2 linked regions of the Lepisosteus oculatus genome follow. The protein of the gene in region 1 purifies or fractionates together with the protein of each later gene. This does not show direct contact. Links are inferred from orthologs where the notes say so. Each region holds a gene or a part of one and is shown on either strand. Other genes may lie near its edges.

Region 1 (7,659 bases):
GAGGAAACAGGTCAGCGTCTTCGTTCGAAAAGGGGTCCAATGGGCAGTTTGCCCAAAGTAGAAAAAAATCAGTTCTTTACCCTTAACTAAGGCAGACGAACACCGGAAGAAGCCACATTGCTAACCTGCGGTCCTGGTCTTACTGTAACAATCTACAGGTCAAAGGCCACCTGGCCTGATACTCTGGGCCCCAGCTGCCCTGAATGATCCAGGGTCTGGTTTCCCTGAACGGACGGGCAGAGAGGCAGCTCCTCTGCCTCCTGGCTCTTCCACACTTTCACCTCTCTTACAGCAGCATCTCCCTGCTCTCGGGTGGTAGTTGAGCAGCGCTTTGTCATTTACAATGCTGGTGTATAATCTACAGAAGGTTACAGTACAGAAAACTCTAGACGTGATAACATTCAAATGATAATTCTGTGGAAGCAGGACTCAAACTGGGCCAAACGTATTCCCATCCCCTATTATCCAACTCAATACTTGGCCAGTTTGATGTGCAAATCAAGAGGTGGAAGAATCAATCAAGAACAGAACAGCCAGCAAAGCAGCACAGAAGCAAGACACTTCAGACTGTGTTCATGAAGGGTTAGAACACTTCATCCTTAACTTTCAAAAGCATTCTATTCATAAATACAGCACCAACCTAATGTTATCACAGCTCATGAGTGAAAAACATCATTTATGGATTTTTAACAACATATCCATCAAAGCACGTGAATGTACCTGTGTGAAGGTACTGGTGGGAACAGGTGTTTTGCACTGAGGAGTCAATGTCTTGGCAGTGATCAGTCAATAATCAGACTGGAAAGAGGGGTTTAAGAACACCTGCAAGGCAGATGGGATTAATGACGAATTTGCGACAGGACAGAGGCCCTGCCTGCCACAAGGAAAAGACAACACCGAGAGTGAAAGAGCTGCAGGATGTCTGAGGATATCAAGAGCTCAGCAGCAACACCGCACAGGTCATAGAATAAGGCTACACAGAGCAGCCTAGCCCTGTCCTATGAACCTGTAAATCAAGGCATGTCCAGGCGGGTCAGAGAGCTCCCTGCGGATCCGTGGGGATCTACAGCCCTGGCTGGACTCGCTCTGTCCACCGGTGCGCTCCCTGTGGATCCTGGGATTCTGTCCTGGGTCTCCGCTCTCCTCTCTACACTCATTCCCCAGGTCCTCACCTCCTGTCATGGTCTTTCACACTCAACGCGAAGGACGCAGAGTTTCTCATGTTCACTATTTATATGCCTTTCACCTCCTCCTGGACTCGATGCTCTTCTTCCAGCAGACCCCATGCATCTCTTCTCTACCAGATCCCAGGCGCCAGCCTCCCTTTCCCCTCAGCCCCTCATCACCTTTGCATGAGGTGCCCTCCCTTCAGCAAGAGTTAAGCCAAAATCTACATGGGTCCCGAGGCTGTCTGTAAGGGTGTTAATCCCAAACTGGGCTCAGACAACCTAACCTCCCCACTGGTTCCCAGTTTCTCTCTGCCCCTGCTCTGCTGCGTAAGGGGGCTGCTGCTGTTCTGTGTCTACAGGGCGATGCAGCACCCCAGCTCTCCAAGACCCATTGTGATGATGCATGCTATACAGACATGGGGACTGAACTACAAGGGCTTAATTCTCAAAATAGTAATGCAACGTACCAACTGCATTTAATCACTGCAGACAAGCTGTAAGCACCCAGTAGGTGCATAAGTTACCACCCTGCATCCCCAGAGCCTGTGCAGTTTCACCCCTACGGCTGCCTTCGCCCGTCAGGAGAGGAGCAGACTGGACACGCAGCTGCACGACTGTTCCTCGTATTAACAAGTAAACTTTCCAGTTTGCCATTCACACTGAATGAAGGGGTCTGCTATATACAGGAATAATAATAATACTTCCATTGCCTGGCCCAGGAAAGAATCTTTACTCCAGAAGACAAGGGGTTACTAGTCCACAGATAGTGCCCTTCTTATGAATTACAAGCAAATCCTGAAAAAACACCGACTGTACACATTTGCAGGACACCAGAATCCCAGCCACTGCCCTTTTATGTACCACAATTCCCATGTGGGAAGCATTTTTTACCCCGGATAACTTATTTTAAAAGGTACAATAGCTTTGAGTTAAACAACAATTTAAAACACTTAAGCTATTAAATCACTTTCGTACTTATTGATACATATATTAGGTAAACTACTTTTAAAATTCTTCCTAACATTATCGGGGATTTCTACATACATCAATAAGAGGATTATTCCACGCAGAGGCACATAAACCGCACTTTCCCGTAGTTTAAACCCCACTCGGGCTTCGGTGAGGCTGCACATCCCGATACAGACACCGCAAAGACGCCGTAAACGTGCTGGTCAGCGAGCAGAGAGACCGGACTGTGCCACCGCTCCGGCCGGCAGCGAGCGACAGACACCCGACAGCTGGATCACGCAGAGCTCCGGGACAGCTGCAAGCACAGGGACCGAGGCTCCGGGCTCCACCGTGGTGGACGAAACCAGACGGACAGAGAAGCTGAAATCCGCTCTCGCAAACCGACACGAAGCTCCGCCGCCTTCGCTCTCGGACCCGCCGCAGCCCGCAGGCTGAGCACGACAACAACAACAGACGCGGAAGACGCGGAAAGGCGCTCCTGACGTTTCGCTCCAAGCGCGACCCGGGGCTGCGGCACACGGCCACACCGGACACCAGCCCTCCGTGAGGGACAGAGCCCTGCAGGCAACACCCCGTGCCGTGTGGTTAACCTCCCGACCTCGCTCTTCCTTCCGTCTTCCCGATCGCCCGCGGAGGCCTCGCAATCCCCGGCCCCCAGTGAGCGAGCGACCCGGGCCCCCCGCTCCTGCCCTGCCGGGCCTGCCAGCGCCTCTTCTCACCGGGTCCGAGCGCTTCCATGGCCGAGGGCTCTCTCTCCGTCTCTGTCCCGGCCTGGCGGCTCCGTACCGACACTGAGATTGGGGGCGGTATCGCGAAGCTGAGAGGGTCCACTCTGAGAAACTGAGGTCCGCTGTCGCCGCTCGGTTTAAAGCGGATCCGGGGAGTGCGGCAGTGCGCCTGCGCGCCGAGCGCTGCCCCTGCTGTGCGCCTGCGCCGTCCGGGGATTTAAACTGAGCGCACGGAGACGGGCAGCACAGGCGGCTGTGGACTCCCGGGGGTTTGGTTATCGACATCTATTTGGGCAGCATAGTACATGGAGAATTCGTCTCCCGTTGGATGAGGCTTTGGTTAGCCTGTCAGCGGTTTACCCGCGGTTTTTATAAATAATTCTACCAGGGAGGAAGCAGGAAGTTATCATACCGGCCGCTAGAGGGGGCAGCGCAGTTAATTGAAAGGTCTGACATCTCCGTAAACTGGCAGCATTTCAGCTCCGTTTTTACCAACGCCGTTGAAAAGCCTTGTCCCGCGCTCACAGTATCTCTTGTGCGGAGCTCTGTCAGAGCCTGGGCTGCTCAGCGTGCTGGGGTCCGGGGAGTCACAGAGGAGAAAACGCGTTTATATCGACATGCATCTGGGGAGCACAGGGAGAAAACGGAGTGTATCATGCTACAGCTTATACTTTTCATTCAGGTTCCAAAATGTGTGGGTGTCTGTGAAATCGTCACATTCGTCAGTGATCTGTATTGTTTTACTCCTGTTAACGTGGCTGTTTGCTCTGCTCTGCAACAGCCGTCCTGTAGCTGCAGCCCTGTCCCACAGCAGCTCAGGTAAAACCAGCAGGTTTATAAAGTATAATTTGCACTTCTTATTTATTTAATCCTCATTGTAATGTACAAATTAAGGGCGTCTGCCAGAAAAGATTTTTAAATTAAATTGAAAAAATATGACATGCTTTTTATTCTTATAAATTACTTTAAAACCACCGTATTGTCACGCAGTCGGTGGTCATTTAGTACAAATAGTTAAAAGTTTCAGCGCTGTTTACATTTTAATGAGGTTCAGTTTCAGGGCAACGTTGAAATCCTGTTTTGTCTCAGAGTATCCGGAATCAAAGGGGCTGAGTATTGTTTTAACAAAACTGCAATAAATATTGTGAGCTACCGTTAAGCTTACCCAATACAAAGTGAGGGGGGGGATAAAATTCACATCTATATTTTTATTTAAAATAAGGTGATTGCTTATTTTTGCTTTATTTTAGAAAGAGAATATTTTTATTTAATTCACAGTTCTTTAGCATTACTGTATTTGTGATTCCAAGAAAAACTACACAAAACCAAGCTTTCCAATCAGACCCCCGAGTGCACTGCGACTCGCTATTGGTCCCTGCTGCTGTCCGTCACTTGCGTGAGGCGTGGCTGGGAGCGTCGGCAGCCCCCGAGGTGGAATAAGTCTGCCGAGGTGGGCGGGTGCGAGGCGGGATTGACGGCCGACAGCCCAGTCAGGAGGGAGAGGAGGGGGCGAGGGGCGGGATGGCGCCCTGGGCGCGCGAGCGGTTGAAAGTCCTTTCTGAGAGAGCGCGCGGGAGGGAGAAGCAGGCGGGCAGCTACGAGTTGTTACTGTTGCGGATTAGATCTCATCTGTTTATCTGGTTTATTTTAACTGTTTAAATAGTTTGTCAAGGAGGGCGAGAAAGTGGACGTGGCCTTGCGTGCGTTTTCATGAGTCTGTGTTGTCGAGTGTAAGCGGAAAAGAGCCCGTCGCCATGAGTGCGGCCGTGTCCCAGCAGGTTTGTGCTGTTTTAGTCACGGTGGCGAAGTGTTCGTAAAGACCCGCGGTTCGTGCTCTGGGGGGGCTGTGTGCTGCTGTGCGGCTGTCCGGCCTCCGAGAGGGCTGGGTCCGGGCGGGCTGGACGGGCCGCAGCAGCACCGCCAGCGGAACCGAGCCGTCTGACCCGGGGTGTGTTCTCCGGGCCTCGGGAGGAAAGTCTGCGGTTTGTTTTGGTTGCTGAGCTTTTCGTGGCAGCGGCTCTCTGCCGCCTCGGCTGGCTCCCGGCCCGGCCGCTGGGGGGCGCGCTGCTCCGCTCTCGCGGTCCGGTGGTTCAACGTGCGAGCGGGGTTCATAGCGGGGGCTCCTGCTTCGCCACTCGGCCTGTGTCTCGGCTGGTGCGCTGCCGTTTCAGTCCGGGGTCTGCCAGGGCGGTCAGACTGTACAGGGCCCGACGCGAGTTTCTTCCGAGCAGTCGGGACCTCGGGTCTGATCATGGGCCCAGTCGCTGGGTGTTGTTAGCCCACCGAGCTGTTGCTGCAGATATGAGCTGCTCCTTCTCTGGAGTGTCGCACTGCCGGCTGGAGGCACTGTCCTCCACTCGCAGAGCTCAGAGCAGACCCCCAGGGCGGTTTCCATGGGATCACAGGGGCAGTAAGCCCATCGGCCAGATGGGAGGAATGGCTGTGCTCGATTATAACCTTTCTTGTGTAGCCGAACTCGGCTGTGTCACCGCCAGCCGGTCAGTGTTCAGGTTTCTCCAGCTGTGCGGTGTTGTAACTGTAAGCCATCCTGTTGATGTATTGCAGTGAAGTCAATCTGCAGTAAATCATGTCTAACTATAGCGATGCTCGATACAGATGCTACCCCACGTCCTCGGGACCCGTCTGTGGTGACGCTGCGCTGTGCCGTCGTGCCCGTAGGTAACGGCCACCCGTTTTCTCTCCAGGCGCCGGACGTGCTTCCCGTGGAGGAGAGCGACTCCGACAGCGGAAAGGGCAGCTGCGACCTGAGCCCCCCTGTGCCCACGGGGGGCGCCCCAGCGATGGCTGAGAGCAGCGAGGACCAAGGTCAGCGGGGCCGGGGGTATAACGCCACAGAGCTCTGAGGGCTCTGCAGTGGGGTCACTCTGAACCTCCTGAGGCTCTGCCTGCTCCGCAGGGGGGATTTGTACAGTTACCCTGTGTCTCATAACTGAGCAGTTTGACGATGGTCCGGACCGTTCGGAAGCGAGTGTCTCGTGTGCGTCGCCTCGGAAGGTCCGTGTCAAAGACGTCTTGTGTTCCAGACTCGGACGGCGAGGTGGCTGTGAAGAGGAAGCCGCGCGGCAGGACGGCCCTGAGCGACAGCGACAGCGAGGCCGAGGAGGGAGGGGGGCCGGCCGAGGCTCTTGCCCTGTCGGAGTCCAGCGAGGAGGAGAGGCAGGAGGGAGGAGGCGGGAGGACAGGACAGCGGACGAGGAGGGTGGCGCAGGCCGCCTGGGACAGTGAGGACAGCGAGGCGGAGACGGACAGGCAGGCCGGCAAGGCACAGGGAGAGTCCCCTGCTGGGGAGACGGTGAAGCGGGAGGAGAGGTCCGAGCATTGCCGGGAGAAGGACAAGAGGAGGGCAGAGGCTGCGCCGAGAGCGAAGAGGAACAGGAGGAAAGAGGTACGTACAGGGCGCAGCTGGGAAGATGCAGCCCTGGGCCTGGAAGGGCGGCGAGCACAGGTGTGCCTGCGTCAGACAGGTAGTGCTCCAGCCAGCTTTGTCCTGCTTGCCCGGTTGGCTGTCAGTGCTGTGTCAGGGGAGAGCTGCTCAGCAGACTTCATAGTTAACAAAAATATTGAATGTCTTTGGCTGTTCTGCAGTCTTAATTTATCCTGGTCCACAGAAACATTTTAAATACACTGCATGTTCTTAAATTGTCTAGTCACTGATTGTTGGACAGGTTTTTATGTTAACTTTTTGTGCTTATTTTAAAATACTTCTGAATGAGTGTCATGTGATGTGTAAGCTTATATCGGTTCTGTGACTGCACAGTTTGAATGTGGATTTAACTGGATGGGGCATCAGTGAGGTTTGGGTGGGGTGTGTGGCTGATTCGCTAAACAAGGCCAACATTAGGACAGCAACCACTTCACTCTCTCCCTAATCTAGGAGCCCACTGCTCCCCCCTCCTTTAATGACAGTGGCTGCCTCCTCAGAGACAGTGACCTGTTTGACACAGGTGTGGGGGAGGAAGAGGAGGAGTCCCTGGATGCCATCAGAGCAGCGATGAAAAACAAGGTGAAGAAGCATAAGGTGAGCAGAGGTCATGACATGGCGACTGCAGGACTCTTGTCTGCACTGCTGTGTTGGGGGAAATGAGGAGTTAAACCTCTTTTCACTTCTGCACGTTTGACTTTAGTCACAGAGTCCTTTAGTGCTGGCAAAAGTGTCTAATGCTCTTCTGTAAAGCAGGGTCCAGCATTTTATTGTCCAAGCGGGTCTCGAGCACTTTGTCTCGGCAGATTGAGGTTTGTGTACAGACGTGTTTTTCCTGTCCCCAGGAGAGAGCCGGGAGGGAAAAGGAGGAGGCTGAGGGGGTGTGTCAACCAGAGCGGAAGGTGAGGTGACCTTTGAACTTTGCGTTCTTGTTGTAGAACGCTGCTTCTGTTGCTCGGTGTCTGATTCCTGTGCGTTTCTGTCCTCTCCTCTCTGTCAGGAGAGGAAAGCAGCCCGGGCCAGCAAAGAGGCCATGAAACAGCTGCACAGCGAAAGCCAGAGACTCGTACGAGGTAAGAGCCTGTCTCTCCCTGTTGCTGACTGTCTAGCAGTGCTTCTTCACCTGGGGTGCAGCCGTCCCTCCTGGGGGTGTGAGATGTGCCAGATATTTTAAATCAAGAAACCAAATTAAGCACAGACACAAAAGTATAATAACTTTGTTTAATCAGTCCTAGGTATTTTAATGTAAACAGGAAAAGGTCAATGCCAGGCTGAAAGGAAAAGAAGAGATGCAATGTTTTGGCTATGGAGCCTTCAGGTGTGGACATCTGTGACACCTGAAGAAGTGTCC
Region 2 (7,119 bases), on another chromosome or scaffold:
AGAGCTGTGCGAATCCTAGACAGACTTCTAGTTAGGTGTGGTGGCTGAAGCCCAAACTCCATCAGGAACTGCCCCTTCATGAACTGCTGTCTGGAGGAAATCTTCGCTTACGTGATTTAAAACCAAATGAGCACAATGGGGCAAACAGCCTCCTCTCGTGTGCAGCCTCTCTGACGTTCATATAATACTGGTTCCAGGATGGCAGGGAAATGCTCCCAGGTAAAACACAGGTTTCTCCACACCAGAGCATACTGCATTTCTTGATGGACAATTTAAAAGTGCAAACCCAGTTGAAGATCAATGCACACCTGCACACACCAGACTTTCCTGGTAAACAATGTGTTAATAATTCAAATCATAAAAAAAGACATTTATATGCACCTGCACAATAGTGCTGACAGATTCATACCTGTATAAGTAACTGCAATTTTAATGACAAAGACAGTATTTTTGTGAAACGCAGCTTAAGTCTTTCACCCTCCAAGCATGGTTGGTACCTGGTATTTCCTTGACAAGACCACTGCCCCACTCTTCTGTTACATCAAAACCCAGAAAACAAAAACATTTCAAACGGACAGGAGGTGGGGAGGATCTGGATTGTGACTGAAGCGCTTGTAAATGTTCTTAAATCAACAGATCCACAAGTCACAAAGTCTCATCTGCCCAGCTGAGAGCAGGCATTTGTCTCGGACCGATTCTCAGCTTCCGTGGCCAGACAGGGTTCATCAGAGCTGCCTCTGTGGTGCCAGGCTGTGAAGAGGGGAGCACCAGATCTCTGCTGCAGAGCCAAAGAGGGCTTCGTGGACAAGACTGCGAAGCCAGAGCCCTGCCTGCTGCAACGCCTTCCCTTTAACTGCGCAATGAGCTTGTGAAGGCTGAACGAGGAGCTAGCTGTTCCCCCCATATTGTTCCTACACGGTGGCTGTATAGCAAGAACCCCCCAAAACAAATGAAAACCCAGAGGCAACATGGAAATCGCAAAACGGAAACAAACAAGCGACCCTATAGAATCACTAACCCCGCTGGCGTTCAGGAGCACGAAGGGCCGCCGCAATGCCCCCCCCCCCCATCATCCTCCTTTTGGCACACTAAGAACAAAACCTATACATTGGCCCCCAATGCCAAGAAGCCCACCGCAGCAGAGAAACACAAGCATCCACACAGGCAGGCAGGCATGAACCCCTCTGCTTTCGCAAGAATTTTCTCCCACTGCTTCTTTTGTTTCAAGATATCACGAGAAGACGGCGAAATGAAAGAAATTTACGCCGGCCACGTCTGTCTAGACAAACAGCATCTCGAAACTTACCGAGACCAACACACACACACACATACACCGACACACGCACACCCTGAGAAAGCTGAGAATCCTCTCATGGCTATCCTTTCACCAATCAACAATCAGCAAGCATGACAAATAATTGTTTGCAGCTGTCATTAGCTGAAAACAAGGCAAATCTGCATATGCTTAATCTTAATTAGACAGACTTGGCACACAGCCTCGGCGACAGTACCAAACAACGTTCTCACAAAAGGGGACGAAGCTCAGACTGAGAAGGAGAAGAAGAAAAAAACGCAAAACAAAAACTCCAGCCGGCTGCAAACGAAGGGCAACAAAGGATAAAGGCAAAAAGCGCAAGGAGAGGGGGGGGGGACAACGGTTTAAAAATAAATAACGAAAGCAATGCCAGAAAAGATGCCAAGGTTTTCTTACAGCAATGTCCTTTCCACCCTCTCTGGCTCTCCCTTTGTGCACCATCCCAGCCCTCAGAGCTCCTCAGATAGCAGCCCGGGCTAGATGCAATGCCGCAACAGTGGAATTCATACAAATCAAAACCACAGGATTTTCTCTCTTTTTTTTTTTGGTACGAAACACATAATGCATCCGATACTAAATAATCAGCTCTCATTTACCTCTCAAATGAGCAGGCACTGATCGACTTCTCTGAGAAATTTCCATTCAGGACGGAGGAGGACCGAAATAATGGATGGCAAAAAAGAAAAGGGGAATGAAAAGAGGACTAAACTGTTCTGTTCGGTTTCCCACCCCCCCCCCCTTTTGTTGCGACCTGGCACTGGTTAAGCTGGTACTACTGCGATATGAATCGGGATTTATGACGTGAGGAAATAACCAACCAAAGCAACAACAAACCCCCCCCACTCTCCCAAAAAAACCTCTTCTGCTGCACAGGGAAAGAAAAACAGGTCACAGGCTCTGCAGTAAATGCTCTGCAACCTGCACGCTGCAAAGCGTGTTCGCTGCTGGCCAGACAGCCATGACGTCACACAGCCGAGCACTGCAGCCCCGCACGGTGCCATCCGCCGCTCGGCTTTCGTGACAAAAAATAACACAACAAAAGTGGAGGATGAGGAGGAGGAGGAGGAGTGAGGGGGGACAATGCCTCCCCCCCCCAACTCCCCTGCAACCCGACAGGTGGAGGTGAAGGCAAATGGCGCTGGCTGGGAGGACGGAAAGCATGCCAACCCCCTCGTCGGTCGCCCGTCGGCCCCGGGCTGTCGCGGGGCACCCTTGACAGGACGAGGAGCACACGGGACAGTTTGCGCGCAGCCCGCCGGACAAAACGCAAACAAAAAACAAAAAAGGGAGAGAGACGGAGCGTGCGAGAGAGGGGGAGAGAGAGATGAGGCTGGAACCCTGCCACCCCTCCGGCGCCCTGAGCCAGCTCTTGGACAGCCTTCAAGGACGAGCACAGACTACGCAGCATCTGTACCTACTGGCAGACTGGCATGCCTGCCTTTATTTTTCCCCTCTCCTCCCCCCACCCCAGCTCCGTTCATCTGCAGCCCTTTCAACAGTACCAGCCGCAGGACGACGAACCCCCCGAAATAAAGGCAGGCGCCCGTCCCGTAGCCCGGCGCGGCGCGGAGCGGAGCGGACGGGCGCGGATCTCTCCTTACCTGGCACGCAGCACAGAGGAATGCCAGAGCAAAGCGCGTGGCAGCAGCCTTTTGCAGACCAGCACACTCAGCACACGCAGGGAGAGAGGAACCAGACATGGCGGAAGGGGGGAGATTGGAGGCGAATTAAAATGTCGGCACACGGATTGGGGGGTAAACGTAGCTTCCGACGAGGAGGACGCCTCGGGTTTCCGAAAGGATGCCGCCCGAGGAAGCGAGCCCCCAGCCTTCACGAAAAAACGCCGCTGGTTTTCACAGGACGGGTCTCCTTTTTTGGGGGTGTTCTTTTATTTTTTTGAGAGCCACGACTGAGAAAAAAAAAATGTTATTCGAATGAGTTTATTAACACTCGAAAGTCCACGTTATTTCACGAGTCAAATCTAACACTCAGCTTAATTTTTGTTAAAACCTCCACCTTGTGCCCTTGGAAAATCTGGAAACTGGGACAGGTGACAGCCAAGAGCAGAACTTTGTTTTCGCAATGTTAATTTACTATGAATGCGCAGGAACAACGCTGCCTTCTTTTAAGTTGAACGCGCACGGCTGTTGATTCACTCAGTTTCCTTTAAGTTTAGATCACTACATTTACCACTCATATAAGGTAGGAATTTTATTTTATTTCTGGCATCACCTAGAAAATATTTTTTAAAGAATTTTGCATAAAGATATTCAAACCATACAAAATTCCAAAAGATATAATCTTTCATGGAACGACTGCAGGCTGCAAGAAAGAATAAATGAATATTATTTGGAGAAAAATGATCTATATAATGTATATCATAAAAACATAATTACTAAATTTTATGAGAAATTAGAATATTATTTAAGTTATAATATTCTGCAAACATATTAATGACATGGATGGTTCATACTATGTTTTCTTTACAATCTCAAAGAGGAAATATATACCATTATACACTACGGGGCTTTGGATAAATAGTATCTTATTCCCCAGATCTTTGGCAAAGATTTGGTCCTTTAATAACATTCAGATCATCATAGGGAGAAGTATCATTTCATTATGAACATTATGCACAGGGCTTCAATCTCTTAGAAAATACTATTACATCTATTGAGTTATGTTGTTGAGTTATTTTTAAGCAAATTAAAATAATCTTACCTCTAACGCTGAACTCACATTTCTCATAAAAAAATTCAACACAACTGGATTATTTTAAACTTTTGTGCTAATAGTGTATATTTTCCATTATATATTATATCATTGTTAATTATGGAAAAAAGGTTATCTTAAATGCTTAGAACTAGTGACGATACTATATATTTAGTACGTGTAACAATAAACTACTACATGTAACTGAAACCTGACCCAGAGTCACCTTCAGTCTCTAAAATGCTCTTCAATATCTTGACCTAAAGCACTTTTCTAGGACATCCTGCACTATTTAATGAAACCATTCAGGAACCTCAAAATCATGTAATTATGTTTTACCTTAATTCAATCTTTTGATTCCTAAATTAATTAAATGAATGCAAAAAACAAAGCTCTAAAGCAATCTAAAGCATAACACCCTTTTATAACATTGTAATGGCATGGATGTCTGACAGAAGGCACAACAGACAAGCAATAGATACTTGGACACAAGTCTTGACTTGGACACTTGGCTTGCCAAACACAGAACTTGTTCTAGTTGTACTGAGGGACAAATCGCCCATCATTCAGTCCTCCAGAGCTCGTATAAATTAGATATCCTGTGTGTTATTCAGCCAGCCACAATCTGAGTTCACTACACACAAAAATATATCCTTACACCTCAGTCAGAAAAAGGCCATTTCTTTCAGCTAAGGTTTATTGTTGATACCAATGTAGTATGCATCGTGTGAAAGATACAATATTTCTACAATTTTCACCTTACAATCATGCCCACACACAATATCGGTTTGCAAGAATAAGCACTGGTCGCCCCTGGACATGGAGTTTTATTCCATCCAAGCTTTTAATTCAATTATTGGGCAGAACTGGTCAAAATTGCTCTCTGTTCCAGGGTACTTATCCGGTTGACAATTTAGTGATACCCAGTAAAATCTTGAGAGTACGGGTTCCCACAAAGAAAGGGCTGGCCACCCACATAAAAACGTCTGCACACGTTTTGTTCCAATGGAGCTCTCAGTTACACAATCAAACCCTTTCACGAGCTTTACCAAGAATAATAAGATTAAGTTGAACTGTTTGTTCCCAGCTCTTAAACATGATCTATTTTTTAAGTGAAATAAAATCCAAACGTGGACTGCAAACATTCAAATGGATCTTAGATCATAGATCCTAGATCGTCTTAGATCAATGAAGGCTTCAGCAATCTAATGGGGGTGGGATCCACCAGTATACAGAAACAGACTTTTGTCCCTTATGTACAAGTCCATAATCATCAAGAATCCATTCCTGGCACCTCATCATTCCTCAGAAACATCGGGTGAATAAACAAAACCTTTTACTTTTCCCTGAACAGATGCAACTATAGACAAGACAGAGGACAAAGTGGAAATCCCAGTGTTCCTAGATCTCAAGTGTGCGGCAGAAAAAGAGTTACACCCGCCAGGATCTAGAAGAAAGAGCAAGGCCATGTCTGTCCCTGTCTGACGAGTTCCAGGTATCCCCCCCTCCCAGTTATAACAATCATATTTTGCTCATTACAAACAGCTGTGTTCCCACTTACAGCAGTAGAAGTGTGGGCATTCATCTGGAGTACATTTAAATACCAATTAAATCAAATAGCTCTTTTATATCAATGGCTTAAAAAAGAGCTGGCACCAACTATATCATCTTGTGATTAATTCAAGGGAATGGGCTTTTCAGTGGGGGTCGGCTTCACAGACTGTCTGGAGGAAAACACTCGCTGAACAATAGCTGGGCTACGAAGCCCTGAGTGAATAATGAACACAACTTGACATCAGTAATGGGAATTTCTAAACAAACGACACGACTGTGTAATTAAAACAGTGCCGGCATAAATTATATCAGCCCAAATGTGGCCTGGCGCTCTTTATAAAGTGCTTGAAACAACAGCCGAAAAATAATACAGGAAAAACACGCCCGACAGAGTGCGATCCACGCGTTTTGTTTGTTTTCATCGCCTTGTTCCGTGCTGACTGTCTTTTTAATCGGTGACCTCAAGATATTTCAAGGGAAGTTCTGCCACAGAGTAAATACTCCCGTCGATGTAATTTAATATGGTCTTCGACTGATCTGGTATGTGAAAGCATGCCACGAGAGCACTGAGGAAGCAGTGTGTCAGCTCTCTTTACAGCAGAGCTCCGGGCTGCGGGGTAATTCACCTCACAGAAAAGTTTGTGTTTAGCTCCACATTTCCTTCGCTCTTGACTTCTTCACTTCCTTTAAAAAATGAAGAACAAATCCAGCTTCTTAAAGATGAGACTTTTTCAACTTAATACCAAAAGAAAACGCTCAGTTCTGTTTAGATTTTAAAAAAATCGACTTTAAAAATCTACAATTACAGCTAACCAGACACTAGAGAATGCCAAACCTGCCTCTAATTGTTGTGAATAGACACACTGGCAATAATTAATCAAATTACTGGTAGAAAATACATGTGCACATTCTCACATGAGTTTTAACAGGGTTCTTTTTGAAGTATTTAAAGGGTATGCATAGAGCTGGTTCTTTTTTACATTCTTTTTGTTATAAGCCTTGAAAATATAATAAAGTTGCCTGTGCTTGTTTTTCATTATTGTGACATTTTTATACGTGCAGATCCCTGGGGTGGCCTTAGGTAAGGGAAGGGTCCGTCACAAATAAATAGAAATTTGTACAAATTGCACGTTCGTGTGCAGAGAAGACTGAAAAGAAAACAAATGTTCCCAGTAGCTGGGGTTTGCTAATACATTTGGTCAATTTGGGCAGTGGTAAGGGCTTTAGAATTGTACCCTTGAGCAAGGTAGTTCATTTGTAAGTACTACACTACCATTCCTTGCTATACAATCTTAAATAAATTTGGCTAAAAAATTAATATAACTATCTGCAGTGAGCGACGTTCATCCATTTTTTAAAAGGTCCATATGTAATTACAGCAGGGGGTGCTGCAAACAAACCGAGACCAGATAAAATCTCTTTGTTTTTTCCCCAGAGGTCACCCTTTTCTCTGGAAACTCCCTCACTCCAGACCAGCCTGTCCCAGAGAAAACATAGCGAACTAGGAGCCTTCAAGGGCCCTGTTCCGGCCTTAGTCA

The links. Proteins that work in one complex are often made in the same cells at the same time.
Region 2: the proteins of ago4 (region 1) and trinucleotide repeat-containing gene 6A protein purify together in Homo sapiens (co-immunoprecipitation; 4 studies listed by BioGRID and IntAct, with this or other methods). This does not show direct contact. The link is inferred for Lepisosteus oculatus from reciprocal best matches to the Homo sapiens genes AGO4 and TNRC6A.

What each region holds. Positions count from the first base shown.
Region 1 is NC_090706.1:162,887-170,545, forward strand, and holds the start of ago4 (protein argonaute-4), read right to left. Parts: upstream 3,021-7,659; 5' UTR 2,877-3,020; coding exon 2,858-2,876; intron 1-2,857. Other genes in the region: claspin, read left to right, coding at 4,621-4,644, 5,572-5,692, 5,911-6,272, 6,762-6,905, 7,154-7,210, 7,309-7,381.
Region 2 is NC_090714.1:11,923,383-11,930,501, reverse strand, and holds the start of trinucleotide repeat-containing gene 6A protein, read right to left. Parts: upstream 3,016-7,119; coding exon 2,917-3,015; intron 1-2,916.